Pelodiscus sinensis: one gene and its partners. The protein of the gene in region 1 interacts with the protein of each later gene in a pairwise test. Links are inferred from orthologs where the notes say so. Each region holds a gene or a part of one and is shown on either strand. Other genes may lie near its edges.

Region 1 (9,936 bases):
GAACATCTGCACTCCGACAAGGGCTGCTGCCACCCCATGCTGCTACCTCTATCAGAAGCAACAAGACAGGGTGACAGGCAGCCAGTCCATGAGGGGGGGCTGGTTTTAAACTGGCTCCCCCTCACAGATCAGTTCTTGCCTGGCCCCCCTCACTGCTGCCTCTATTAGAGGCAGCAGCACGGAGTGGCAGAGGGCTCCTTGGGAGTGAGACACACTGGCTGTTGGCCTTGCCCACAGGCACCATAGAAAAGTTAACTGATAAGAATTCAGGAGGTTACTCCACTATTCAATTAACCGACATTTAACATTCCTAATGTGAACTAGTCAATTATCCGATAATCAAATGCTTATCAGATAGTTGACTGATCACTTCCCTCCCCCCTTGCTGCCTCTTATCAGAAAGAGGCAGCAGGGGTACTTCAAAGCAGCAGTGCCACTTGGAGCCCAGGGCCAGAACATTGTCTCTACACAGTGCTGCCACTCTGAAGTGCTATATGCAGCCCAGGGCCAGCTGGAGAATCCCCCACAGCACTTTTACCTTTGAAGTGTAGCAACAGCCCCAGGGCAGTTGTTCACTTCAAAGGTGAGAGGCATTCTTATCAACTAATTGAATAGTCAATGCAAATTGCATTGACTATTCAATTAGCTGATTAATCTAAGTTTAACATCCTAGAAATGGCACCATGATTTTGCATGAAAATCAGAGTGAACTTAATGCTGTTGAAGTGCTACCATAGACCATCCATGAACAAAGACTGTTAAAGATTCTTGATTGTGTTTTATGCTGGTCATGAAGCGCTTTGGAATTTTTAACCTCATACAGCAGAGAGCCAACAGCCCTATCTACCACTCTGGCTAGTTGAAGGATTTAGATTTTAGGCATCAAAAGAAGTTACTTCAACCTCAATTAAGGTTGAGATTACACAAAAGGAATAGGGAGGTACCCCAGAAACCCGCTGTCTAATCCAAGCAATTTTAAACAATTTCTGTGATTAAAGTACTAAAATAATTGTCCCAGTGTTCATCTGAATCACTATTTTACTCTTGCTATGTATGAATTTACAAGCTTTGCATTATAGTCAGGCATATTGCACACAACAGCTCCTCAGTTGAAAGTCTGTCCCCAATTGGCTCTCTTCCCCTTGCATTGAGGAAGTAGGGCTGAAAACAATGATCAAGCTCTACATGGATATACCTGCAATATTTCCTAAAGCCCACACGGCCTGTTCACTGATGTGAGTGTGAGGTGAAGCCAACAGAGATATAAAGGCTGGTATAGCCCCACCATCCACTACAGCCTTAGTTTGCTCTGATGTGCCAGAGGCAATGTTGGTAAGCGCCCAAGCCGATTCAAATTGAATAGGGCTACAGTCTGTTCTACCCAAAAAGGCAACAAATTTTGGTATCAAGCCAGCCCGGATTATATGATCTATTGGAGGTTGCTTCTCTCTGGACAGGAGTTTCCTAAGGAAGGAAAAAAAATAAGGGAGTTATATTTTGTCCACTAAAATCTTTAGGGTAGATTCCAGCAAAGCTTGAGAACTATTTTTTAAAGTAAGAAAAAAATTCAAAAGGGGAAGTAGCACAATGCACTGAGAAGTTCAGATAAGCTACCGATCACTTGGAACATTAGCTAGCTAGGAAGCTTTAAAGAGTTAAAATTGCTTAAGGAAATTTTTCCTTAAGAGGTTTTCAGTTGAGTAACTTAAGTGAAATGCTTTATGGTGCTGCAACAATACAAATGCATCTGAACTGCTCAAGAGAGATCTTGTAATGTACAGAGAGCAGCACCTCTATGTCACACCTAAGAATCAGTGGCATAATTAGTGTGCACCAGGCCACACCTTAGATTATTCAAGGGTATACTGATGCTAAGTGATAATTCAGTTTGGCCCTAGTCTCCATGCTGACTAAAGTCAATTCCAAGAACATTTACTTCAGAGAGCAGATTAAAATATTGCTGGTTTCTATACACAGAACTAGGTTTTAACAAGTATTTGCTATAAACTTGTGCTCTGATGGGGGGGGAGGGGGAGGAAATCAGCTAATTCCCAGCAAATCCGATCACGAAAGTTCTTACCTGGCAGCCTGAGTTGCCTGCAACTGCAGCTCCAAGTTGTTACTGTTAATTCCTTTGACAATTTCTTCAACAGACCAGTGTGCAGTGGCCTGCATGAGAAACAGAAACTTAAGACTATGTTGGGAAAAAGGTGTCTGTATAGTAAAGCAAAAGCTCTCTCAGCAGTCCACAAGGCAGACTATTAAAAGAAGGCACTTAAATTAAAAATGGAGCATTGTCCAATTATAATGGGATTCTGAATCCTTATCAGCCATAATTTTGTCTAGCCTAGAAAAGACAGTTATTAGGTGTGACAACATGAATTTTAATTCATTTTATTGCAACCAGTTAGTATTATCATAGACAGTGTTTAAAGCCATGTCCCAACTGTAGACAAAGCCTGCAGTCTGAGGCTATGCAAGCAGGGATTTGGCACTATGTACTCTGTTATAATTGGTAACAATTATATGGTACCACAGACATCCATTGTAACACATCCACTGATGAAGCTGGGAGATTTAGTTACCTGATTGTTTCGATTTTCTTGAAGAGGTGAAGTAGCATCATCTGGGAGAATGCTGACATTTCTTCTTTTAAGCATCTGATCATCTTTCTTAGCTTTCCTCAACTCTACATTGACTTCAATGCGCCGCCGCCTCATTTCCTGAGAAAGGCAGATATGCCGTCATGAGGAACTCTTTTCTTTTTTAAAGGGCTAAATTATGCTTAAACACTGATGAGCACAGACTCCAGTTAAAAAAAAAGATACTCACTGTAGTGTCTTTTCCTTTATTCTTGAACCTGTTCAGACGAGCAACTGCTGCACAAGCATTCTCATTGGTAGACATTTTTATAGTAGTCAGACTCAGGCAATATCAACAGAAGAGAGAGACCTGAAATACATATTAAACTCAAATCTAACTTACTTAGATTTTAGAGAAAGATATGCATTTGAAATCAAGATGGGAGTTAGAAATAGGGATGTCCAGACCTGAGGTGGAATAATGTGCAAACAAGGAGCATTGCCTCATTTCAAATGAGACAACCATTTTTTATTGTTACAAGTGATACGTAAGTTTACCACAAATAAAAATTATACATTTTAGGTTTTCTGCAGCTATCAACGTATAATCACATTAATTACTTCTGCAAACACCACTGATCATTCAGGCACAGTGACAAGGAAGCTTCCGCCCCTCCCCCCAACAAAACAGAAGAGATTTGCTACAGGATCTACAGCTCCCTGGGTTAAAATTTCGATTCCCTTTACGGAACTGACTAGATTTCACTTTGACAATGGCCTTTTAAAGGGAGAGAGCCATTTTGCAGACACACCCCAAGCGTAGCGCAGCCGCTTCATTTATAACGGGGTACAGATCTCCGCTCCGTGTGGAGGCTAAACCAAGCCCCAAACCAACACCACGAAGCAACCACAGTCGCACCCTGAAGAATATATTAGGCGAATTAAAATAAGCCAGCAACCCAGCCAGTGCCTTCCTTAGGAGAGTGGCGGGCTAGGAATCGCCCATCGCTTTAGTAACCTGCAATGAGCAAAGGGGGGGGGGGGAAACGGTCCCCCACCCGACTATCTGTGCAACCCATACGAAACCCCCAACGCATTTCACCCTCGATAACTCCAGCCCATCCCCCCACACAGCCCCAGAATCTCCCCCTCACAAGCACACACAGCCCTGCCCCCCCCACTCCCACCGCTCCAACACACGCCCTAGAGCCCCTCAGCTCCCCCTTTTCTTTAACCTCCCCCCCCCACTGCCTCCCAATTCAGCGCACGAGACACCTTCCCCCCGCCGCGCGCGCACCTGCACCAGCGATCGCTGCTCGTCCCTGCGGCGCAGCCTCTGACTCGACCAGGCCAAGCACCAGCGCACACGTTGCCGCCGCCTCCGCCCCTTTTGCCTTGACTCCGCCCGTGGCGGGATTTAAATTTCCCGCGTCTTCGCTCTCCGATTGGCCAGTTCGAGCCAAAGCAACATTCTCATGGGTCCGTTTGAAAAGCAAGCTCTTCTCGCGAGGCGGCGGGGGAGAGGGGTGGGGAATCTCACGAGAACTCCGCCGGGATCATGGAGAGGTCTGATTGCACGTCACAGAGCGTAGAAACGCGCTACAGAGCGTAGAAACGCGCGGCTCGCGCCTCCAAGAATACCGATCCCCCCAGCACGCAAGGCGCCACCTAGCAGCCAGAAGCCCGAAAGAGACTACAGTTCCCAGCATGCAATGCTCGGCCGGGTCCTTGTCTGCTCGAAGGACTGTGGAGCATGGGATGCTGGGATTTGTTGTCCCCGCAGGGTCAGTTCTTATGTGGACTTCAAGGGTCCAAACGATCTGCTTTCAGTAGCAAGGAGGTTGAGTGACGCCTGAAGGAGGAAATCATTGCTCTGCTCTTACCTCCCCCCCTTTACACCTGCAGGGTCACATCCTATAGCAGGGGTGGGGAACCTCAGGCCCAGGAACTGGATATGGCCCTGTGCCCTGGCTTGCCTGGATCCAGCTCCCAAGGCTCAGTCCTCCCACACCCCTTAGTACTGATGAGCCCTTGCTTGCGCTCCAGTTTCCCCCTGACCCCCTTCCACCGTGCTGCTGTCCCACTGCAGGGCTGAAGCACACAAAATCTACTAGGCTGGGCTCCCCTAGCCTCTGGTGTGCAAGGGGAATGTGGGAAGTGTCTTCCTCAGTTGTGGGCCATGTTAGTGAGGGTTTTATGCTTTTTTGTTTCTTTGTTTTTGTTCTTTTGCTTCTCTCTTGTGTGCAGTCCCAACTGATTTTTTCTGTGGGCCAGCAGCCCTTGACCCAAAAAAGGTTCCCCATCTCTACTAGGGTTAACCATGTTTGAACTTTCAAAAAAGGACACCAAAAAGGACACTCCTGAGAGGGAGTGTATCTGTATCTACACTATACTAATACACCATGACTGTGTCTACATTGGCATGATTTTGTGCAAAAGTGGGTGCTTTTGCGCAAAAACTTGCTGCCTGTCTACGCTGGCGGGGAGTTCTTGCGCAAGAACACTGACATTCTAATGTGTGAAATCAGGGCTTCTTGCGCAAGAATTATGATGCTCCCACTCAGGAATAAGCCCTCTTGTGCAACTGTTCTTGCGCAAGAGGCCAGTGTAGACAGGCAACATGAATTTCTTGCTCAAGAAAGTCCGATGGCTAAATGGCCATCAGAGCTTTCTTGCGCAAGAGAGCATCTACACTGGCACAGATGCTTTTGCGCAAAAGCACATCTCTTGCACAAAAGCACATGCCAGCGTAGATGCTCTCTTGCGCAAATACTTTAACGCAAAAACTCTTGCATTCAAAGTATTTGTGCAAAATCTTGCCAATGTAGCCGTAGCCGTAATGAGTTGGTAGCTACTGATACAGATACACTCTCTCTCAGGAGTGTTCTCTTTTTTGAACGTTCACATATGGTAACATTAACCTCTGCCTTATAGCATGACCAAACCCCTGGTCACCAAAATCTACTGCATGCTTTAGCTATGCAGAACTGTATACAGCAGTGGTTCCCAACCGTCGGTCCACAGACCAATGGTGAGCCAGGGAAGCTCTGGGGGTGGGGACTTAGGTACACCACCCAGGGCCTCCCCTCACACCACAGCTGTTGAGAGGTCTCCCCCAGCTGCAGAAGATCAGTTCACTGTGCAGTGGGAGGGCCACGCGGAGCCTAGCACGGCACGCTTAGAGCAGCCACAACCTGGGCAGCAGTGCTCAGCTGGAAGCGAGGAGGCAGCTCAGGGCGGGGGGCGAAGCAGGCACTGGAAGGTCCAGGGGCACGGTTGGTGCTGGGGGGGGGGCTCTAAGAGGCAGGGGGCTGGCATGGGGGGGCTCTGAGGGTGAAGCTAATACTGGGGGTCTCGGGGTGTGGGAGGCCCAGCAGGATTGGGTGCAGTGGAGCTCCGGAACAGGAGGCTGGCACTGGGGAGTCTGGTGATGGAGGGCTCTAAGGGGGGACTGGCACTGCGGCATTTGAGATGGGGACTGGCACTGGGGACTCTGAGAGCAGGAAGCTGGCACGGGGGGGGGGGGGGGCGGTTGGGTGCAGGGGATTCTGGGATCAGTGTCTGGTTTGGGGGAGTAGTGGAGGGGTGGGGGCCTCTAGGTGTTAGGGCTGGCACTGAGGAGTTCTGGGGGCTTGGGCTTTTTATAATGCGGACTAGCATACCCATTCACAAACTTTTGGCAGACCAGCAGCATTTTATTGCATATTTGAATATTCATTATTCACATAATGAGTGTGCAAATATTCAAATAAAATGTTAGCGGTTTGCCGAGCTATGGTATAAAAAAGATTGGGAACCACTGGTATACAGCACTGTAAGCCCAGGGTTCAAACTCAGCCTCAAGTATTTTCTGTCTACACACAAATCACGCTATTTGAGGGTTCATACTCAGGACCACATTGGGGTGGAGCAGCTGAGGCTCAGTGAAGCCAGGACTAAGGTAGCAACTTTGTAATATTTAAAAACCAGACACTACAGCAGGCATGCCAGAACCTCCTCCATCCTCTCTTCTCTTGAGGTACCTGCCCCTATCTCACCTCTTTCTTGAGGTCCAATCCCATTTGGTCCTCTTTCTTGCTGTCCCCTCCACTCTTTGCTCTTTCCCTCTTCTGCCCCCTACTCCCATCCCACCCAGGTCACGAGGGAGCTGCAGCCCCCTGATGCTGGGGGAAACATCAGATCATCACCCACCCAGCTGAATAAGGACTTTGAGTGTTGATCTGGTGTCTCCCCCAACCACTGTAATTGGACTTTGGGTGTCCAGTCAGCAGATCTGAATGGTCACTGTCAGGTTCCCTTTTCCACTATACTTTCCGATAAAAAACTGGGCGTCCTAGCCAAGACCTAGGGTTCAAGCCCATTGGACTCTTTCTGTGGCAATCAGGTATCCCACACTCTCATGGTCTAACTTCCTTTGTCCTCTGGACAGTCAAGTTTAGTGTCTGTCAGATTTTCTGAAACTTCACAACAAAGAAACACCCACATTTTGGGAAGACGATAGGAGGTCTGGGATACGGATGATTGGACACTGATTTACATAATGCAGTGTAGATGCTGGAGCTGCAGATTGGGACCCAGGGTTCAACCATTCCTTACCTGTGGTTTCAGATGAGTGTAAATACTCAAGCCCAAGTTTAACAAACTGAGGATCTGCTAACTTGAGTTCTGTTAAACCTGGGCTCATATTACATTGTAGGGCACATGTGCACAACAACAATTAAATACCTATGGCTGGCCTGTGTCAGCTGACTTGGGATGTAAAATAGGTGGTAGATATTCAGATTCAGGATGGAGCCCAGACTCCTCCTTGAGCCTGACTGTCTGCATAGCAATGTTTAGCCCCTCAGCCCAAGCCTGTGTCAGCCAGCCTGGCCTAGGACTGCGGCAGCATTGTGTATACATTCCCAAAGCCATACCCTTTGTGCCTCCCTCCTTGCTCTTGGCAAAACCAAGACCCTCAGACTCCAAACCAAAGGAGGCACTGGACCTAAAGAAGAATACCTGCTGCTCTTTACTGGGATTTAAAGTAAATTGATTGAAGATGCACTACTTGCATACTAAACACCAAATCAAAAGAGCATCAACCTACTCCAACCCCCAGAATCCAAATAAAAAACATACTAGGCCTTAGTTTACTAAGACTTCCCCAGAAACTCACAAAAGCCAGCTCAAAAGTAGAGGCTTTGCAGTATATGTCCAAAAGAGTAAAAAGATTTGGCATATTTAGCATCTAGCAAAGAGAAAATTCCAAATTTGAAGGGAGACCACACTGCCAGCAGCTCACTGTCATGTAGCAAAGAAGCTCTAGGTCAAGTTGAGTAGCTTTCCTGATCAAAACAACAGCAATTTGGTGCAGAGTGAAAAATAGTGTTTCAGGTAAAAAGTAAGAATGTTAAATTTAGATTAATCAGCTAATTGAATGGTGGATGCAATTTGCATTGTCCATTTGATTAGTTGATAAGGGCACCTCCACTTTTGAAATGTAGCAAGAGCCCTGCCTGCTCTTAGAATCACAGAATACTAGGACTGAAAGGGACCTTGAGAGGTCATCAAGTCCAGTCCCCTGCCCTCATGGCAGGACCAAATACTGCCTAGACCATCTCTGATAGACATTTATCTAACCTACTCTTAAATATCTCCAGAGATGGGGATTCCACAACCTCCCTGGGTAATTTATTCCAGTATTTGACCACCCTGAAAGTTAAGAACTTCTTCCTAATGTCTAACCTAAACCTCCCTTGCTGCAGTTTAAGCCCATTGCTTCTTGTTCTATCCTCAGAGGCCAAGATGAACAAGTTTTCTCCCTCCTCCTTATGATACCCTTTTAGATACCTGAAAACTGCTATCATGTCCCCCCTCAATCTTCTCGTTTCTAAACTAAACAAACCCAATTCTTTCAGCCTTCCTTCATAGGTCATGTTCTCTAGACCTTTAATCATTCTTGTTGCTCTTCTCTGGATCCTCTCCAATTTCTCCACATCTTTCTTGAAATGCAGTGCCCAGAACTGAACACAATACTGTACTCCAACTGAGACCTAACCAATGCAGAGTAGAGAGGGAGAATGACTTCTTGTGTCTTGCTCACAACACACCTGTTAATACATCCCAGAATCACATTTGCTTTTTTTTGCAACAGCATCACATTTTTTGCAACAGCATCACACTCATATTCAGCTTGTGGTCCACTATAACCCCTAGATCCTTTTTTGCCGTACTCCTTCCTAGACAGTTGCTTCCCATTCTGTATGTGTGAAACTGACTGGTCCTTCCTTAGTGGAGCACTTTGCATTTGTCTCTTGTTACATTTCAAAGGCGGAAGCCCCTCCGGAAGCATGAGGCCAATGGGGAATTCAAATTAGTCCCCAGCTGGCTCTGCACTCCCTGCTTTTGAAATGCACAAGAGCCCTGCTGGCTCCCTGCTCCCCATCCGGGCTCTGCTTTTGAAACATACAGGAGCCCCTCCAATACATTTCAAAAGCAGGGAGCGCACGGGGGACTACTTGGGTCCCCCACTCACCCCCTGCTCCCATGGCACTTCTTTTGAAATGTAACAAGAGCCCCACTTGTATCCGATAAGCATATGCTTATTGGATAGTCGACTAGTCACTTAAATCCCTAGTAAAAAAGGTCTCAAGCCATAAGGGTTCTGTTCTGAGTTATGTGAAAAGCAATGTGCAGTCCATGGAGGACAAGTATTACAGCATCCTGCTCATGACAGGATACATACACAAGAGGGCAGCCACCACCCTTTAGGCTAGCTTTCCCTTCTGGGAGGATTGAAGGTACAGCCCCATGTAGAACTTCTAATTTAGACTAGAAGTGATAAAGTCATTAACCATCCTAGCAAGGTCAATAATTCAACATTGTTTCTCATAATAGGTATGAAACATCCAAAATAGCCAAAAAACTCACCTCACACAGGATAGGTGTATCATCAACACTTCATGATCCACAATATCAAAGACAGCTGATATAGATAACATTATCACGGACACCTGTTTTTAAATTAATCTCTTGAAGAAAAGCATCAATCAACACAAGTCTGTATGCTATACTTAATTCTGAATGCTAATTAATAAGGATCAACCAAATCAATAGCATAAAGACACTGTGAGTTGCCTTATGAAATTGCCAAATCTTAATACAAGACAGATTATATATATATGGGATAACTTTTAGAACAGAAGTCAAATTCTTGTGTTTTTTTTTTAATTATAATTGGCATCTAATCTTCCTTGGATATGTTGAAATACCCCACAAGAACTACAAGGATCTAGAGCACTGACTATATAGTATTCCATTTTCCCCAACACATCTGGAACCCCTGTGATAACATCTGAAACTTGAGCACATT
Region 2 (9,785 bases), on another chromosome or scaffold:
CGTATGTGTATATCTGATTGCTTTGACCATTTAACAACTCTCTTCTCTTCCTTTTACAATAAAACCTTCAGTTTTAGATACAAGAGGATTGGCTGACAGTCTGGTATTCTAGGTAAAATCCAAATTAATATTGATCTGGTCATGTGGCTGACCCTTTGGAGATCAGAAGAACATTTTGTATAGTGAATAATGTTTTAAATAACTCCTTCCCTTACTGGACCTCTTTGCAGATAGGGAGCTGGAGAACTTGGAATTCAATAAAGGGGACTGTGTGAATTCTTTTTAGTTTCCAGATAGCCAGTGTGAGGGAACAGGAGCCCAGTTTGTGACTGGTTTGTGAATTTAACTACAAAGTTAGTCATTAGTTTTGGGAGAATCTGTTCTCATTTTGCAGCCTGCCCTTACTTTGGCATTTTCAGTGTGGGCTACTCTAGACACCTCAGGTCACAGAGTGGACCTGATAACAGTGTTCAAATATCTCAAAGGCTGTTCTGAAGAAGACAGTGTTGAATTGTTTTTCCATGTCCTCTGAAGGTACAAGAAGAAATAATGGGTTTAATCAGCAGCAAAGAAGATTTAGGTTAGATAGTAAGAAAAGCTTTCTAACTATAAAGGCAGTTAAGCCCTGAATAGGTTGAGAAGAGCATTTCATCACCTCCTATCACTGGAGATTTTTAAAAACGAGTTGGACAAACACCTGTCAGGGATGGTTTAGGTTGACTTGGTCCTGTCACAGTGCAGGGGGCTGGAATGATAACTTCTCAAGCTCTTGTCCAGCCCTACATTTCTATGATTCTATGCCACAGCTTCACTCATCTTAAATTTGAACTATATTCTTTAACTCTTTCATTCACACAATTTTATGGGTTATATATTGATCTCTTAACGCAATACAAAAATTGGTGCGACTTAGCTGAAAAGTGTAATAGAGGAACATTTCTGCACTTAGCACCAATAAATACACTACCACATTACTGTCATCTGCTTGGTTACAGATTCCTTGACCAGTTAGAGCATTTTTCAGAGGTACCCTCTCCAGATCTTTCCTTCAGAAAGTCTCTCTGCTTCCTCTTTCCATTCATCAGCAAGGCTCCCATCTTGCTCTCACAGACATTATGCAAAACGCAGAAAACACTTATCACAAAAGGCATATGTTGCTCATCAGTCTCCAATCTTGTCAGGAGGCAACTTTCCTTCCATATTCCAATGTACACTTCAATGTCATTCTGCAGTTGATGTATATTTGAGCATCTCTTTTGTCTTGTCCAAATGCCCAGTAAAAGCAGATAAGCAAAGGGGAAGCTAGGTCTCCCAGAATGACAAAAGACATCATAACTCTATTAATGCCTATAGTGGTCTAGGGAGCAAAAATTCCCTGGACTGATTCCAAAAAAAAAAAAAAAAAAAAGCCTAAGTTTCTAAAGATCACCTCACATTAACATAAGTGAACCTTCCTTGTCAATCAGCCAGGTCTTGAGGCACTATGAAGAAATATACCTGCCTGCTGAGAAAGTCTTTAGCCTGATATGGGGGCAAAGAATAGCCAAAGATGGCCATCAATAGTTCCATTACAGTTTGGGACCCTCCCATCTGTCCAAAAACAAACTAACAACCCCTCTGCCAAAACCCGCTATCAAGAACTTCCCATGTATTGCCAACCTTTATTACTCAGCACAGCAGCATCCTCTGAATAGCACAACAAATATCCATATCAATTGACCCATCAGCTTTTCAATCAACACTAAATTATTTAGCCAATTGTTAGCAATAAAGGATGGCAAGCTTACAGAGAGTGATAGACATGCATCTCTTCATACTGAGTATAATGCTCATGAAGGTGTTCTATCAGTGCAATCCTGGCACAAGTTCTGCACAGATCTCCAGGAAAGTAGCTTTCTGCAATATGAACTCATGTAAACATGGCTGATCATTGCATTATCTTGTCACACCAGTCTCTGCCAATTGACTAAACCTAGAAGCAGCACTATACTGAATAAAGCTGCTCCAGATAAATGCCCTGCAGACCTAATTGCTTGAGTTTGTCCTCCTGTTCTTCCTGTACCTGAAGCCATATTGCTGCAACATCCAAAGCTGTCTGAAGTAAGTTCAACTGAGCAATAGCCACTACATGTGCATTATCCTGTTCATATAAGTCATTGCCATAATCTCAGGACTCAGAGGGTACGAGAGTACAGGCTTTTGTCGACAGAAGTTTTGTCGACAGATACTGTCGACAAAGAGCGTCTAGCCTACATCCAGTTCTGTCGAAACAGCAAGCTGCTTTGTCGACATGACAGTGTAGATGAAAGGACAGTGTAGATGCAATAACGCCTTCTGTTGACAGAACTCTGTTGACAAAAGGCGTTATTCCTCGTAGAATGAGGTGTACAGCTGTTGACAAAACTGTCAACAGAACTCAACAGCAGTGTAGACACATGTATAGTTTTGTCGACAAAAGCCCACTTTTGTCAACAAAACCCTGTAGTCTAGACACACCCAGTGTGTCCTTGGTATATGGGGGCCTTTGTCTGTTAGTACTCCCTCGAGGCATGATGGTGAGCCACACCAATCTCACTTGATCACCATTATGTCTCCATACCCAAGTCTGCAACCCTTACTGAACAAACATGACTTGGCCACAGTGATCCACGCTCTTGTTATATCCCGACTGGATTACTGTAATGCACTTTATGTAGGGCTGCCTCTAAAGAGCCTTCAGAAACTTCAACTGGTCCAGAATGTGGCTGCTTGAGTTTTAACTAACACTAGTTATACAGAGCACATTATGACAGTGCTTCAGCAGCTGCACTGGCTTCCAGTATGTTTCCAGGCACAATTTAAGGTTTTAGTTATGACCTATAAAGCCTTAAATGAGTAGGGTCCAGGGTATCTGAAGGACCATCTTCTCCCATATGAACCAGCCTGGGGACTGAGGTCAGCTGGGGAGGCTGCGCTTCGTGTTCCCCCACTTGTGGAGATAAGATTAACATCTACGAGGAACAGGACATTTTTAGCTTTTGCTCCCAGGCTGTGGAATTCTCTTCCTCGGGATATTCGCATGGCGCCAATGCTAGTGTTGTTTCAGCGTCACGCTAAAGCCACCCTTTTTACTCATGCTTTTATTAATGTTTGAGTCTGTATGTGTATTCCTCCTCTCTATAGCTACGTCTAGACTGGCATGATTTTGCGGAAATAATTTTAACAGAAAAGTTTTTCCATTAAAAGTATTTCCGCAAAAGAGCATCTAGATTGGCACGGATGCTTTTGCGTGCCAATCTAGATGCGCTTTTGCGCAAGAAAACTCCAATGGCCATTTTAGCCATCAGGCTTTCTTGTGCAAAAAATTAAGGTGCCTGTCTACACTAGCCCTCTTGCGCAAAAAATTAAGGTGCCTGTCTACACTGGCCCTCTTGCGCAAGAGGGCTTATCCCTGAGCGGGAGCGTCGAAATATTTGCGCAAGAAGCACTGATTTTGTACTTTACAAAGTCAGTGCTCTTGCGCAAATTCAAGCGGCCAGTGTAGACAGCTGGCAAGTTTTTGCGCGAAAGTGACTGAAAATAAGCAGCAGAACGGCTCTTACGCAAGAGGGAGTTTTTGCGCAAGAAGGAGCAGTATAGACTGCTCTTTCTTGTGTAAAAGCCCCTTGCGCAAAATGGCAGCTTATTAGGTATGCAAATGAGGCACGGCGATATTCATCATCATGCCTCATTTGCATATGTTATAGCACAAGAGAGCACAATGTAGATGTAGCCTCACTGTAGATGCTATAATTCTTCTATCAACTTAATTTACGCTTTTTGAAGAGGTGTATTAACTCCAGCAAGTTCTCTACCAATTACTGCTGTCCTGCGTTTATGGTGATCATCACTGTCAAGAAGAGTGCATACATTCCAGGATGCAAAATGTAGTTTCTGTTTAGTCATTGATTTTCTTTTGTGATCACAAAACTGGATATCCAGTCAGTCATGGCTAACTGACAGGAATCAACTTGAACAAGCTGTGTTTAGGGTTTGTTTTCTCTCCCTCTCTTCTTTTAAAGAAAGCAACGCTATCCCTAAATAGGGCGGCTTTGCCATCTGGACAGGATACAGAAGCTGCTGTTGTTCCAGTTCAGCAGCCAGATGACCATCACACCCGAGCCACCTATGTGCAGGTTTATGGCTAGATGCTTCCAGTGGTGTCCGCCACCTGCATCCAAATGTCACTTGCTCATCACCATAGAACTTTTGTCAACAAGAGGTAAATCTTTAGTGTCAAGAGATATACCATCACACATGAATGGATTTAAGTGAGACTGGCTTGTGGGTTCTAACACCACTCTCTCATCTCATACCGATCATTGTACACAGGCACAGGAACTGCAACATGCGCACTGGAAGGAGAGAGTGCATGTTTCAGATCAGAGTTGCCTTCTCCTATACAGATGTGACTTAAAAAGGCTTAGTGAGCTCTGTCTGTCTCTGTTTAAAATCAGAGTTTCCCTTCTCCTTGGTACTGTCTGTGGGTCCATGGCACCTTATTCCATATTATTCAGCACAAACCCTCAAGATCACTTCACAGAGGCCTTCCTCAGTAAAAGCTTTACCAGCATTAAAACACACATTGTCAGCATTACATATCAAAATGCACAATGTGTATAGCCTCAAAATCAAATCCTAGTACGTTATCAAAAAGCATTTTCTTTACTGTGTCCAGCTATAAATTTTGGTGATTCTCAATGAAAACATTTTTTCAGCTTGTGTGCAGAAAGTGAAATTGATGTTTACCAACATTTCATTGATAAAAATATAACTCCTCCCAACCCTGTCTATACTACAGGACCTGGATGAGACCCTCCAAAGTTATTCAGACTCCACAACTGGCACATCCCGAGTATAATATTTGACCCAGTTAAGTGGAGAGCCCTAAGCAGCAGTAAAGGAGCCACAGTAGCCAGACAGAGAAGGAGCTCTGTAAACAGACAATCCCTGCCTTGATCTAATCTGCATGGAAGTGACTGAGCAGTGAGTCACCAGTGGCTACGGGCAGGCAGGGCTGATGTGGCTGCTTTTAGTAGGGCATCCATGGGGCCCCCGTATATACCCACAGCTGTCACCCCACTCCCAGAAACACACATCCTGGCAATTGAAATTCAGGGCCTCTCAAGTCATCGGGGCAACCTTCAGAACAAACTTTCCTTAGTGCTTTTTACCCCTCTGATACTTTGTTAGTGCTTGTCGTCTTGGTAGCCTGTGCCCGTCACGGGACATCAGCGAGACAAGGCGAATGAGATAAAATATATTTTATTGGACCAACTTCTGCAGCTGCGAGCCTGATTATCAGAGCCCCTGGGTCACCACACCCTGCTCCCTCCCTCTGCTCCCCCGCCCCCCGCGCAAGCTGGGGGAGTGTCCCTAGGGCGCTCTCTATAGGCCAGCAGGCTGCTTGAGACACGTGACCCAAATTCGAACGCGACCTAACCCCGCCCCCTCCCTTCCCCGACCGGCTCAGTGGGACGGGCGGACCGGGAGACGCCCAGCGCATTGGCTGGCGGTGGCACGCGACCAGCATTCCAACGGCCGGGCGCGAGTCACTTTCGGGAATCTCCGCCCCCCACCCCCTTTCTCTACTGCGTTTGCGCCGCCATTCCGGCCTGGCTGCTGCCCGCCGGCCGGCAACAAGAAGTCGGGCTCAGGCTGGGGTGAGTGCGCATGCGCCGGGGGAGGCCGGGCGCCGGGACGGTTCTCGACGGGTTTCCCTCCCGTGTTTCAACGAGCGAGTTCCGCGGCGGTACCACAGTAAAATGGCCGCGGGAGGAAGCCGAGTGGGGGGAAGGCCCTGATCGGAGCGCGAAGGGGACTTCCTGTGTCGGGGGGTGGGCGAGAGCGCTCGTGGCCCTGCGACTCAGACTCCGCCTCCTCCGGAGCCTCGGCCCCGCAGCGCTGCGAGAGGCGCCACCGTCCGCTCCCCGCCGCCCGCCCCGCCTGACTGCTGGGAACGGGAAGCGACGAGAGAGGTAGCGGCCCCGCGGAGGCGCCCCCCTCTCGCCGGCGCTGCCCCCCCCGCCCCCTCTCGCCGGCGCTGCCCCCCCCGCCCCCTCTCGCCGGCGCTGCCCCCCCCGCCCCCTCTCGCCGGCGCTGCCCGGGCCTGGGGGCGGAGGACGCGCCCCTTTGCCGGTACCTGCCCCTGTCCTGGTCAGCGCCCCCCTCCCCGGCAGCGCGGCGCGCGCCCATCACGCTCTTCCCGGGCCTGGAGTTGCCCGGGGGGGGGGGGGGGAAGAGACACTTGCAGCGCGCGCCTCTCAGTAACGTGCAACCCTAATCGGCCCCCTCCCCCCGCCGCCTTGGCCTGTAACGCCGCAGTGGCAGGGTGGCTGCTGGCCCCGCGATGCCGGGGATGGAAAGACTCCTGCTGCACAGACCTGACGGGGGGGGGGGTGGGAAGAAATCTGCTGTTACTTTTCTATCCTGCTGGTTGCAGAGAAACAGTGTTGCAGCTTAACCTCCTTCATCAGGAGTCTATTTCATTACGTATTTTAATGTGCACAGGAAGTAAATTTCAGGCAAGCTAATGCTATTACTATCAATCTTCTTTTGAACAGTGAATCTTTAATAGGTCTCACTTGTTTGATGCCCAGAGATCTATTAGCAAACCATCAGTAAGCTCAAGATATGAAGGCAAGAGGGGGTTTATGTAGAGAGGGTTTTCTTAATAGTGGAACTTCTGCAGGGAGGAGGGGAGGTAGAGATGTCCTGACTGGTGCACTTCTCCCTTTGAAATGTACATGAGACACAGACAGCTCTTGTACATTTCTCAAAGGGAGAGGCACTGCAGGATAGCCTGTGTCTTCCTTATCGACTAGTTGATGGAAATCGCAACAGCTACTTGATTAAATCTAATTTTAATATCCCTAGATGTGTTCATATAGAATAGGAATATGGTATAATTAAGACATCAAGAAGTGTATCATTTAAAAAAAATATATACTTGTCCTTGAAGGAGTTGAGCTCCACCATCCTCTTATCAAAAGCAAGGTAGTTTTGATGATGGTAAATTGAAGTGGTACATTAGTCTCACTTGCTTTTGTACTGTGAAATATTTGACAAACTGCAAAATGACATCCTAGTCATTTTTCAGTATGACAGTCTTATAGAAATTTCACTTAATTGTAGAAAGTGTACAGTTTCCCATGAGGTTGAATCATGTTGAGATATTGAAATTTGAGATTCGCAGAAAGTTGAGATGTTGAGTTAAAGAATACTCTAAAACTTTACTCCACACACTGCATTAAATGCCTAAGTTCTTACAGGTAATTAATGTTCCTCTAATCTTTTCCATCTATGTACAGAATTTTGTGTGTATCAAGGCATGTGTGAATGTGCACCACCAACAAACAAAAAGCTCTAGCCAGCTGTCCAGCATTTAATCTGAGAGGCTGCACAAGTGCACTTCTTACAGCAGTGGTCTCCAACCTTTTTACACCCCAGATCACTTTTTAAATATCAGAACAAGCCGTGGTCTGCCGCCCCATCCTTCAAGACCTCACCCCTTCCTTGAAGCCCTACCCTCTCTATTCTCCTCCTCTCAGTCACTTGCTATCCCCAGCCCTTATACAGTCTACGCTGCTGCTCTTTTTTGGTACTTCTGTAGGAAGAGATTTTTCCAACATGTGGCCTGTCTAGACTGGACCAAGTGTCATAAAAAAACCTTTCGGAAGCCCCCTTATTCCTCGTGGAACGAGGAATACATGGGTTACCGAAAGAGTACGTTTGCTCTTCTACTAAAAAAGGTGGAAGAACAAACGTGTCCTTGAATGCGGAGGAGTTTTTCTAGCCATACCCCCACTGGGTGGAGACAGGATGTGGGCTCTGGGATGGGAATGAGGGATTTGGGTGTGGAAAGGGGTAAGTGGTGTAAGCTCTGGGAGGAATTTGGATGCAGGAGGAGGACAGCTCCCAGTATGCACCTCCTCTGGGGAGTCTTCCCCATCCTGCAAGTTCTCAGCACATCATAGACCTGGGGGAGGGAAGCAGGAAGCTGGCACTACCTCCATTGTCACTGGAGGTAGGTAGTGGGGCTTCTGAGGAGTGGGGCTCCCAGAATCAACGGGTTGGTGACCACGGACTTACAGGGAACACTGCAGGCAACCTATCTCAAACTTAATTTTTTAAATGAGCCTTCCAATTGTTCATTTTAAATTACTTTTAACTAAATCAGATGTCACAATATAACCAATACCAGAAATTTACATCAGTTTCAGACCCATCTAAATTAATTTTTAGATGTTCTTCTAAAGATTGGTTTAAATCTCAAAATTAATTGTCCAAATTAAATTTATGAATCAAGCCAAGGAGAATCGAGAATGAATTCATGAACTCTGGTGTAATGGTGCTGTAACTTTTTTGAAGCTTCTTGGTAATTTAATTGTTTATAAAAATGTTTTAATATTTGAAAAACTTTTAGCCTCAACAATAGAACCGTAAATGTTTAGATCTTATTGTAACTCCCATCTCTAACCTTTTAAAAAAGCCCCAAGTCACCACAACACTCCTTCCTATATAAATAGTATATAATTCTATAGGGTTTTTTTAGTTTACAGTTAAATCTATCAACAATTTTGTCAGGGTATAATATAGGCAAAATAGTTTAATTTGTTGGCGTAAGTATACATTTTCAGAACATCTTGTGCTAAATTGGAGTGTAGAAGCTTTCAGCTATTAGATGCCTGGCATACCGTATAAGATTCTTACACTGCAGTGAAGACCAATAAAGTGATTGTTAAGGTGAAATATGAACAGGTTATTTTCCCTCTCCCAGTACATTTCAGAAGTCACTAAGTGTCATGCTGCCTTACTACAGTTTGGTGTTTGAAACAAAGTGCAAGTTTCCCAACTTCCTAAATGTTTCCGCAGTTTGGTTTCAAAAGGGCAACATATTTGACTCTTCAGTAGTTATTTTTAGCTTAAAATTCTACAAGTTTTCGAGAGTGTGCACTTCAGATGCAATTAGAGGTTCTTACACATGTAAAAGCAATGTTACACACAATGTCATAGTAATTCATAAACTTAGTGTCAAATAGTAACTCCTGCACCTTGTGTGATACAATATGCTGTAAATTGAGCCTCCAGTGTGCATAAGTCTTCATTCATATTTCCAGTTTTATGTGATTTCTATAAACCCTTTTTATATTAACACAAAATAAAGATCGGACTAATTTTTGGTTTCTCTTTAAAATCAGTTTGATGCTCTTAATAGAGATTGCTGATTACTGAAATTCTTGCACAGGTGTGGGAAAAATGGCAAAGAGAATTGCAGAGAAGGAGTTGACTGACAGGAATTGGGATCAAGAGGATGAAGCTGAGGAGGTAAAGTTTTGTTTTTGTTTTTTTGCATTTCCAAGCAAGAAAATAAAATGACTTGGACAAAACAAATAGTGAGGTCTTTTCTCTGAAGTAAAGAACAAGCATCTGTAAGATGTACACTAATACTGTAAAACTGGATAAACATTAAGAAAGTCAAGATCAAGTTTGAAAAATTATGAGTAGTAAAAGGATTGACTCACCACTGGCGTGCGCCCTTCTGCAGTTAGATATAGCAGTTCTTTTCTCAACTAATTCCCGCTGTTCTAGCCCTGGTCTTTCCTTGTGGCTTTGTTCTTCAGCCATTTCATATCTTTATTCCACTCTTCTAGGGTATGAGTCCAACAAACAACAGTCCAGGGTCCTTTCAAAACATCTTCAGCCTGTAACTGTGGATCCCATGGTCTTAGATCTTAATTGTTCTTATGCCTTTCTGTGAGGCCTCA
Region 3 (9,954 bases), on another chromosome or scaffold:
ACGACACTAATCCAATCTCATTCGCTCATGACAAACAGGGATGACAGACAATCCATTCACTCGGATCCAACCCTAAGGACAGGTATAGATCAGGGAAGGAACGAACCCACCAACCAACCTGAACTGGGCTTCAGCAGGGGGTTTTATTAACCTTAAGGCGGGAAAAGAAGTATGAGGGCTGAGTGCATAGTAATGTTGGGTGCAAAAGGGGCTGAGTGCAATTCTGAGCAGGGTGCACAGCTCCTAGGGACGTGTGCAAAGAAACACGTAAGCACCGAGTGCAAATCTGTGGTGAGTGGAAAACAAGGCGGGAAACCTTTGGCGGGAAACCCATCTTGACAGGAATCTAAAATGGCATCCCCACAGACTCCATTTTGAAAGAATAGCTAAACATTAAAGCCCAATCATACTTATCATACTTTTAGGTATAACACCCTGCCCCCAAGCTCTCATTGGCCTGGGGGTGGGAAAGCATGCGAAGCCTCCTCCTGTCCTGTGAGGAACGCGCTGCACTTTGAAGTAGGGCAGAGGAAACTTTGTGCGCTTCTCCAGCCTCCTGGCTCTAATTAACCTGGGGCTGGGGGAGCGTGTGAAGCTTCTTCCTGCCCTGCTAGGGGCATGGGTGCTTAGTGGGAAGGAGGTGCAATGGAGCCCACCCACCCTCAGACCAATCATGGTCTGTGGGTGGGGAAGCCTGGAAGCATCTGGCCCCGCACTCTTAAAAAATGTTTGAAGTGCCCCCAGTCAAAAATTATTGCTCACCACTGGGTTATACTATGTGTGCTTGAGCGACGAGGAGTCCTGTGGCACCTTAGAGACTAACTAAAGTGTAGGAGCATAAGCTTTTGTGGGCAAAGACCCTCTTCGTCAGATGCATGTCAAATGTGTGCTTGGTTAGTGCAATAATAGGAAAGTTAAATAATTAAAAATAAAATGTTAGCAAACCCAAAATGGAGCCAAAACTATAGCTTGTGAATGTATGTTTGCTGGCCTGGATCCCTCCATATCAGTACCCAGGAGTTCAGGGCCCTGCTAGGTAAGGAACATGAAAACCAAAATGGCCATTGATCAATAGGCTAACCTAAGATACTTGTAGGAGCACAGAAGGCATAGCTATATTTTGGTGTTTGCTGCCTTTGGTATACTGCAAGTCCTGCAGTCTCATTATTGACTGCAATAGCTAGAGGATTCCGCAAGAGGGGAACAGCTATTAAAAGTCTCCATGAGGATTTAGAGTTGGCTGGCATAAGTTCAGGGTCCATCCGATTGAAATTAGTTCTGTGTATCTTGCTGGTTCTGCCTAGGCCTGTAATTAACATTTGCAAATTTCAATGAAATTCATGCTGGCTACAGGATGCTGGTCTGTTGAAAAATGTTACCCTGCTTTTTATTCTACTATATTTCCAATTAAGTGGTACTCTGTATCCATTAAGCTTTCAAAGCAACTGGGAGCTGTCAATAATATCACTCTCTGCTCTGGTGAAAAAATGGAAAAATCTCTCTGCATATTGGTATCTCAAGAGAAAACAAACTGCTTCCTTGTTAAAGTGCCAGGTATGGTAAAACAAGCGAAATGTACCGTTAATAGCTAGGCATTAGGGCAGTTTGAGTTAGAGTTCATTTGCCATTTTATATTCTTCTGACAACAGTACGAAGAAATCACTGCCTAAGGTTTCAAAGAGAATGCATATGTAGCCACATACCAATGCTGACTTTTATGGGAGCTATTTGATTAACTCTCTCATGGCCCATTGGGAAATGTAGCTGTCTTGTGTCTAATTTCACTCTGAATTATCTGCATTTTGCCATTTAGCCACCAGTTACATATTTCCCTCCTAAATTCAATGCTCCCATGAGCATTGTATGTGAAAAATACATTGTCCACCACCTAAATTTAGCTGCCCCATGGAAATTGCCAATGTTTTTCTAGTGTCACTTCATATTACCAAAACATTTTTTCTAGCATGTTATGCTGGAAGGCAGTGTTATTTTGCCACATGTTGTATACAGAACCCAAAGTTTCCAGTGTGAATGAATTCTCATAACAAACTGCTAGGAAAAGGCACTGGAAAGACATTATTTGTAAATGTATTCAGCGAACAATTCTTAATAACAAATAAATGCGAGATCATCATGAGCTGAAAATGGAAAATAGGATAACTAACTGAATTACTCACATATGCATTTAGCAAAGATGGCATTTTTAAGGAATGGCTAAAGGGCAAAGATAAACATATGAATATTTGGAGCAAGTAAATACCATTGAGAAAGTGGCATAATTTAGTGAACGGGGGTATAATTAGGTATATAGAGAAGTTTATGGTATTTATCACTACTGCACAATCTGCTGAGCTATGGAATAATCTCTCAAGAGAAGTGTTGCCTCTCTTGACATACTTTAAAACTACTGATTTAGAAAAAGTACACTGTGGAACAATTGCCCACTAATAAGGAAGACTGGCTTGACCAAACTGATCTTTTCCAGCTCCAAATTCTTTAATCCACTCAAAATTCCAACCAGAATGGGCAACATGGCCAGTCAAATTCCATCCCACAGCTATTTTCTAAGGGAGATAGCTACTGCTTTGGGAAAATCCAGGAGATGGACCGGATATCACTGAAGTCCCTTTTACACCTTGCTCAAAGAAAGGATAAGATATGAACCTTATGTCTTCTCTTATGGTTTCTTTGCTGTAAGGCTTATGGTTATGTGGAACGTAAGTGGTGCATAGGTATCATGCTAGCCCCATCAGAGGAATGAATTTCACTGTAAATGAGCACAGCCCAGTTAGCATATTGCAGGCAGTTTCAATAAACCAGATTTTTTGTCATTAATTTTGAGTTGCTGGGCAAAAAATAAATTCTGCAGCCAAAGTACTGCCTAACTGAGGGGGTACTGAGGATGAAAGTAGTATCCCACTGCCAGTCTTTATGTGTGCTCTATTTATAACACATTTCCGGAGCCCACTGCTATTATATGCTTATTCCAGCAGAGAGAACTGAGCTCCTCGTCTCTTGTCTTCAAGCAGCAGCTGAACACCTACGCTTTTGAAATGAAACAATAAAAAAGTTTCTTCCTGGTTCACTTGATCAAAGAAAAGATGAAGCAAGAAGTAGACTTCTGTATGTCTACACAGGGGATTTGCTCTGGAGTGGCTGCTTTAGTGTAACAGTCCCTAGTGTAGACAAACAACACAGTCCAATGCATGGGCTCCCATTATAAAAATACTAAATGATAAGAGAGAGAAAGGAAGAGCAATTAATGTGCAGGTTGGATCAGGCCTTTTGTGCAGGAGTATCTTGGATTATAACATACAGTGACTCTCAAAGTGGGCGGAGGTGCAGAGATCAGCACAGAACCTTAGCAATGAAATTTTCATGAAGGAGCCCGGACAGCTTCAATCTATGTCCATGGCAGCCTGCTCTTAGTATAAGGGCCAGGGCAACACTGAGGACCACCAAATAAAAGGAGGCTGGCTAGCCAAGAATCCTCAAAGGAAGCTTGGAGTGTTCATATTAGCCTAGTACTCCGGAGCCAGTACCCTAGGGCAGAGATTCTGGAATTACTACCAATGTTCTGTATAGTACTTCTTTGGTGATTTATGGAAAAGTGGCTGGTTATATGCTGTTGGGTGGCTTCTTTCCTTCCAGGTACAAAGTTGCATTAATGCTGTGAAAAATTTCTTCCATGTAAATGCAATTGCAATAGCTGCCGCAAATGTTTGCTCTAAGGGTATGTCTACGCTAGCCTCCTAGTTCGATCTAGGGAGGCTAATGAGGGCAACCAAAATTGCAAACGAGTGCAGGATTTAAATATCCCGTGCTTCATTAGCATGTTCCCGGGTGGTCGCCATTTTAGAAATTGACTAGCCCGAAGTAACTGCCCGCGTCTACACGCAGCAGTGAAACGGGATTCTGAATAAAAGCCCTAAATCGAATTAGCTCGTATTCCTCCTGCAATGAGGTTTACCAGCTAATTCGATTTAGGGCTTTAATTCGGAATCCTGTTTCACTGCCGCGTGTAGATGCGGGCAGTTACTTTGGCTAGGCGATTTCTAAAATGGCGACCACCTGGGAACATGCTAATGAAGCACGGGATATTTAAATTCCACGCTTCGTTTGGGATTTTGATTGCCCTCATTAGCCTCCCTAGATCGAACTAGGGGGTTAGTGTAGACATACCCTAAGTGGTCCCTGCATACACAGCCCAGAGGGGAGGTGATCAATGGCATGCAAAACCATGATTTTTTTCTATTAAGAGTGGGTGCATTAAAATGCTTTGGAACTCCCCAGTCATAGAGGATCATGGAACAAAGCCTAGTTCTGTCTCAACTCAGCCAACTACAAGCAAAATATCTTGTAACACGAAAGGAGGTAGCCTTGAGGACACCATTAATATTTAAAACATATATGCATATTTATATGATTTATGTATATCTATAATGATGAATCATTTTGAAATAGCACACTGACATACTAATAGCAAAATAAAACAAAGTTCACTGGAATTAACATCAAAACACAGCCTGATCTGCTCTGTGCACTGACCCTAGCAGTACACTTCTAATTAGAGATGACTCCATGAGGTTTACAGTGAGAGAGTCTGGAGCTGCCCTTTGCTGCTTGGGTCAATCTCTTCTCTTAATTTTCTCCATTATTGTCCTTTCAGTTTGTATATTTTTTGTGTGATCAGTCTGTGCTGGTAGGAAGCTGAAGTGGGTTAATGGCCGTCTGGCAAAGGATTTATCTCTTGTTCTGTGTTTGTAAACAGCACAACGTGTCTCTCTTCACAAGCAGCATTATAGGACTAGTAATATTTGTCCAGTTGAGCAAGGCAGGTCGCTTAGCAGCTCTACAAAGAGCCAAGTGAACCCAGCTGGCTGGTTTTGTTAGGGCTTTGTGTCCAGAGGTGGAGGTAGGCTGCATTCTGAGTTGCCCTGCATAAAAGAGTTGAAATTTTTGGTCTGGTAATGATGAAGACAAAGTAGAGGTATTTTTAAAATGCAGCAAATTGTCTCCAACAGCTTGTGGGAGAGAGAGCTCCTAGCTCCTTCAGCAGGGCCACGCAACCCAAATGCGTGTGGTATTGTGATCCTGTGTGCCAGGTCATAGCACCAACCATTCCAGTTTGGGCTGTCAGGACGAGTGGATTCTAACCCTGAGTGTGGCAGAGGACTGGAGGCTAGTGCCTAGGGCTGGAGGCCAGGGCTCTTGCCTTCTCACCCTAGAGGCTGCAGAGGAATGGGAGGGGGCTGGGAGCCAGGGCTGGGAGCCAGGGCTCTTGGGTTCTGGCCCTACAGGAGGCAGAGGAATGGGGGATGGGGTCCAGGGCTGGGAGCCAGGGCTCTTGGGTTCTGGCCCTAGAGGTAGCAGAGGAATGGGGGATGGGGTCCAGGGCTGGGGGCCAGGCTCTTGGGTTCTGGCCCTAGAGGTAGCAGAGGAATGGGGGCTAGTGCCTAGGGCTGGGAGCCTGGGTGCTGAGGAAGGGGCCGAGGGCTGCAGCGCCGACCACCCCGCATAAAGCAGCGTCCCCCACTCTCCCTCCCGGGGGACCCCTGAACCCGGCCCGGCTGCTCCCCCGGGAGTGCGCAGGGAGGGGTTTGCGGGCGAGCCGCGGGCGGCTGTCAGGGTGATGCAGCCTGTGTGGGAGGGGATACCCCGGCTCCAGCATGAGGACTGTGTGAAAGATGTGCGAGCAGGCAGCGCGCTACTGCAGGGAGAGCGTCCACAAGATCCTCCACAAGCAGCAGCCGCAGCTCCGGGGGCTGGACGGGCTGCTCCGCTGGATAGTCACCAAGATGAGCGACAAGAGCATCCTCTCGGAGCGGGAGCTGCCGCTGGAGGGGCAGGCGGCCGCCGGGCAGGGCTTCTGCCCCCCGGAGCAGAGGAAAGGCACCTCGGTCATCCTGGATGTGAGTTCCCGCAGGGCACGGGCAGCAGCGAAGGGGCCCGGGCCGGTGCGAAGAGCCGCAAAGTGGGGGCGCTGCGAGCTGCCCCCGGGCCCCCTTCGCACGGCCCCGCTTCCGGCTCTGCAGCAGCGAGGCCGGGCAGGGAGCAGGTGGGGACCCGGGCGGGGTGGGTCTTGCTGGGGCCGCAAATCTTGCCAGGCTGGGTGCAGCTGGGAGGCGAGCGGCCCCGGCCCTGCGGGCTGAGCGGGAGCTGCTGAGCCCGGGGCAAGGCGGCCGGGTCAGTGGGGCAGCCCTGAGATCTCCATCTCTCCCGCGCCTGTGGCTGCCAGGAGTCGCCACCGAGCAGCCCGGGACAGTGCCCCCGGCCCGGGCTCACTAGGGGCGTTCAGTGCCCGAGCCAGCCTCGGCTTGCGGGGGAGCCGCCTCGAGCGCCTTTCTGCCGTGTCAGTGTCTCCCTCCCCCTTCTGTCGCCGGGACAGTCCCGGCTTTTCCTCCCAGCGTGCCTGCCGACCTGCAAAGAATCTGGTGTGTGGCTCAAAGCTGCAGGGAGAGATGGGAGCCAGAAAGAGTGAAATCGAGGTGGCCCCTCCATTCAGACCAATATGTTAAGGCAAACACCTGCTCTGCAGTTTGAGATTAGATCCATGAGGCTTGTTTGTGCTCTTTTCTGGGCAGGTTCTGGCACTTTTACAACACTGAAACCGAAGAATAGTTCCAGGGTTCCCAAGCATGGATTAAATTGCTTGTTTATCGGTGTGATGGAATTGCACTTCAGTTTTGGGAAATGGACTATCACATCCAATATATTCTTATTGAAAATTTAAAAAAAGCACAATACATGGCGTTTTTTCTGGTACATTTCCTACAGTGAAATTATAGTTTTCAGTTGAGGTGCATATATCTCTGGGGATACACAGAGGGCTTCATTTAGATACTAACCTAGTTTTACAATAGGCTCCAAAAAGCACTAGTAAGATCAGTAGAAACTAAAATTTCATACAATGACTGATTTATACTGCTTTATCTCCTATACAGTGAAATGTAAGGACAATGCTTATATTCCAATTGATTTATTTTATGGTGCAAATGATTATTTTATGGCATAAATGATAAATACAGAAAAGTTGCTTGATGGTGCAGTGACACTTTTTGTACGTTTCTCTGATTTTATAAGTCGTTTTTAAGTGAGGTGAAACTTGGGGGTACACAAGACAAATCAGAGTCCTGAAAGGGATTCAGTAGTTTGGAGAGGCTGGGAGCCACTGCTAAATAGTGGATGTTTTTGAATGTTAAGCCTCACATGAGTTTGATGATTTGGCATTTAAAGGTACATTAAGCATTAGATATTTCAATCTACATGAAATCTGTGTGGCTATGTCTGCACAGCAGCATTATTTAGGAATCACTGATGTTATTCTGAAATAACAATGAGTGTGTCTACACTGCAAGCCATATTTTGAAATAATGGCAAGTCGAAGGATTTCTTACTCCAACTCCTGTAACACTCATTTTATGGGGAGTAAGGGAAGTCAAAGGAAGAGTGTTCTTTCTTTTACTTCCTGCTGGGTAGACAGAACCAAAAGTCCAATTAAAATATTTCTACTTTAGTTACACAATTGATATAGCTCAAGTTGCATAATTGAATTTGGCTTTTACCCTGCTGTGTAGACTTGCCGTATTTGAGATACTTAAATATGAAAGAAAAGTATAGGAGATATTAATTGTAATAAAATCCTTGACAGTAAGGGATACATAGTAAATGAGTTCATTCCAACCTTTGGGGTAGATTTCTTCTCTCAACTAAGCAAAAAATTAGCATATTCTTACATTAAGCAGAAGTTTTTTAAAAAGGGAATTTGTTACAGAATAAAATAACTATTAATCTCCCAAGGCTCAGGCAAGTAAATTTCAGACAGGAATTAAATTTAATTTAGTAATTAAATGAATAACTTGGGGGAAACATAGCCATTCTGTATCAGGCATGAATTCTAGATTCCTTTGAAAAATAAAGGTGATTACACAGATTACCTTTTGCAGTGTTCTTTTCTTGAGAGGTTAGGACATGTTCTCATTATGTGCGTCATGATGCTTGTTAAATATAATTAGGTTTTCTCAAATTTTCTTCTCTGCTGTTCTTATGACTATAATAATCTCAATTTTTAATCATAGAATCCTAGTATAAGAACTTAGGTAATTTAACAATCTTTACATCTCATGTTTATCCATAGTCCTATTTCATACCAGTTAAATAACTTGCACCTCTACAAGTAAACTTTGAAACTTTTCTTAATAGCATTTTCACCAAAAATATAGAACTCTCTGAAGAATAGTGAAACGAAAAATTAAGGACAGGTATATTATGACTTTCACACAGTTGTTTTTAGCACATGCAAGTAGTTTGTGACATTTATGTCAGTATTGTTATGGAATGTGTATTTAATACTTTTTAATATTTTCTGTTAGCTGTTTTAGTAAATTATTTGCATTTAAATGGAATTAAAAGAGAACAGAGTTGGGGGGGGGGGGGGCAGTACAGGCAACTCCTGAAGAAAATATAATGAAAACTGTTATATTATAGTTTCTGATATGGTGGCATGTAATAAATAAAACATACACATCAGTTTTGCAGTCTTCCATCTTTAAAAAAATATAACCATAAACCTGTAGTGATCATAAAAAAATAGCTAGTAGCTAGAGTCTGTTAATATCCCTGAGTCCAAACCAACAATATCTCTTCTATACTAGTCCATAGATTTCCTGACAAATCTTATTGAATCATGCCATAATCCACAACAGGCATTGGCACCTGCAAGAGACAACAAAACTCACTTTATTTGTGATCTAAGCCCAATTCTGGGCTCAAATTGAAAGAGACGATGGGTTTATGAGTTAATTAGTTGTGTCAAATTAATCTTCTTCTGATTGTCTTTGGCCTAAGTAATACAATTAAATGTTGCTCCCAATCTACATTTTAGTGGGCTGCCATTTAGAAATATTTGATGTATAACATCTAATCAACTAATGTGTTTTTGTGGATCTGATTTTTTTCTCTCCATCTACTGAAAATGGTTACCTGTGATACCAGCATAGATGATACAGTCACTCAAACAACAGTATTTTGCCCTGACCAGGTGCCCCATAGGTGGAAAATATTGTCACAGTTTTAAAACACACATTAATGTTAAGTTCCATTAAATGTCCTAATTTTTTTAAAATGGAAAAAGAAGATATTTGATATGAGAAATATAAACTTGTAAAATTTTGCAACCACAGAAAAATGAAACAAATGATAATGCACGCCACATTCATCTGTATCTGAATCATTGTTTTGCTTTTCAGTTAGATCGGCTTTTTTGCATTATCTCTTATGTGTTTGAAAGTAGAATTGGGTGAATTCTACAAAATCATTTCAGCATTTTTTTTTTGTTCTTTAAATGTTTGCTTTATCTTGGTTATTTATAACTATAGCAAATACTTCACCGGAACTTCCACTATCATAGTTTCTTTGCAAGAATCTCCTGAGACAGTTCTCACGCAACAGAGCTTACAATCGAGACAAATTAGACAAAGGATGGGGGAAATGAAATATTATCTCCATTTTACAGATCTGAAACTTAGGGTGCAATGAAATTTTTCAAAAAAAAGTCTGTAGGAGAGCTGGGAATGGAATTTGTGGTTCCCCAGTGCTTTTCTAATGACCTAACCATAAGCTCATCCTTCCTCTCAGTAGTTTATGCCCTTTATGTCCTTGCTTTCCATGAACTTTTATTCTACCAACTGTTTGATAAAAATAAATTTAAGATCACACACTCGGATTCTCATGGAAGAAACTTATTCTCTTTCTAGGAGCATTAGCACCAGAAAGTTCCATTAATTCATGCAGGGAATAAAATATACCATATGACTTATTTGACTAGTCACAACTAAGTAACATAGTTTGAATTCTGAGAAGAAAACTGTAGAATAAATGATATGTGAAAAAATTAATTAAATGTATTTGAATACCAAATCCAAGCAAATCACAACCTGTTCACTGGCAACTAAA

What was found. The genes of interacting proteins can lie anywhere in the genome.
Region 2: the proteins of KPNA2 (region 1) and NUP50 interact in binary tests that used the Homo sapiens proteins (3 or more experiments, as listed by UniProt). The two-hybrid records come from large-scale screens. The link is inferred for Pelodiscus sinensis from reciprocal best matches to the Homo sapiens genes KPNA2 and NUP50.
Region 3: the proteins of KPNA2 (region 1) and NECAB2 interact in binary tests that used the Homo sapiens proteins (3 or more experiments, as listed by UniProt). The two-hybrid records come from large-scale screens. The link is inferred for Pelodiscus sinensis from reciprocal best matches to the Homo sapiens genes KPNA2 and NECAB2.

What each region holds. Positions count from the first base shown.
Region 1 is NC_134730.1:20,963,371-20,973,306, forward strand, and holds the start of KPNA2 (importin subunit alpha-1), read right to left. Parts: upstream 4,035-9,936; 5' UTR 3,880-4,034; intron 2,953-3,879; 5' UTR 2,908-2,952; coding exon 2,833-2,907; intron 2,724-2,832; coding exon 2,586-2,723; intron 2,170-2,585; coding exon 2,081-2,169; intron 1,465-2,080; coding exon 1,196-1,464; intron 1-1,195.
Region 2 is NC_134711.1:123,431,825-123,441,609, forward strand, and holds the start of NUP50 (nuclear pore complex protein Nup50), read left to right. Parts: upstream 1-5,482; 5' UTR 5,483-5,681; intron 5,682-5,690; exon of another isoform or gene 5,691-5,996; intron 5,997-9,265; 5' UTR 9,266-9,276; coding exon 9,277-9,345; intron 9,346-9,785. UniProt on the Homo sapiens protein: Component of the nuclear pore complex that has a direct role in nuclear protein import. Actively displaces NLSs from importin-alpha, and facilitates disassembly of the importin-alpha:beta-cargo complex and importin recycling.
Region 3 is NC_134722.1:38,259,984-38,269,937, reverse strand, and holds the start of NECAB2 (N-terminal EF-hand calcium-binding protein 2), read left to right. Parts: upstream 1-5,651; 5' UTR 5,652-5,687; coding exon 5,688-5,912; intron 5,913-9,954. UniProt on the Homo sapiens protein: May act as a signaling scaffold protein that senses intracellular calcium.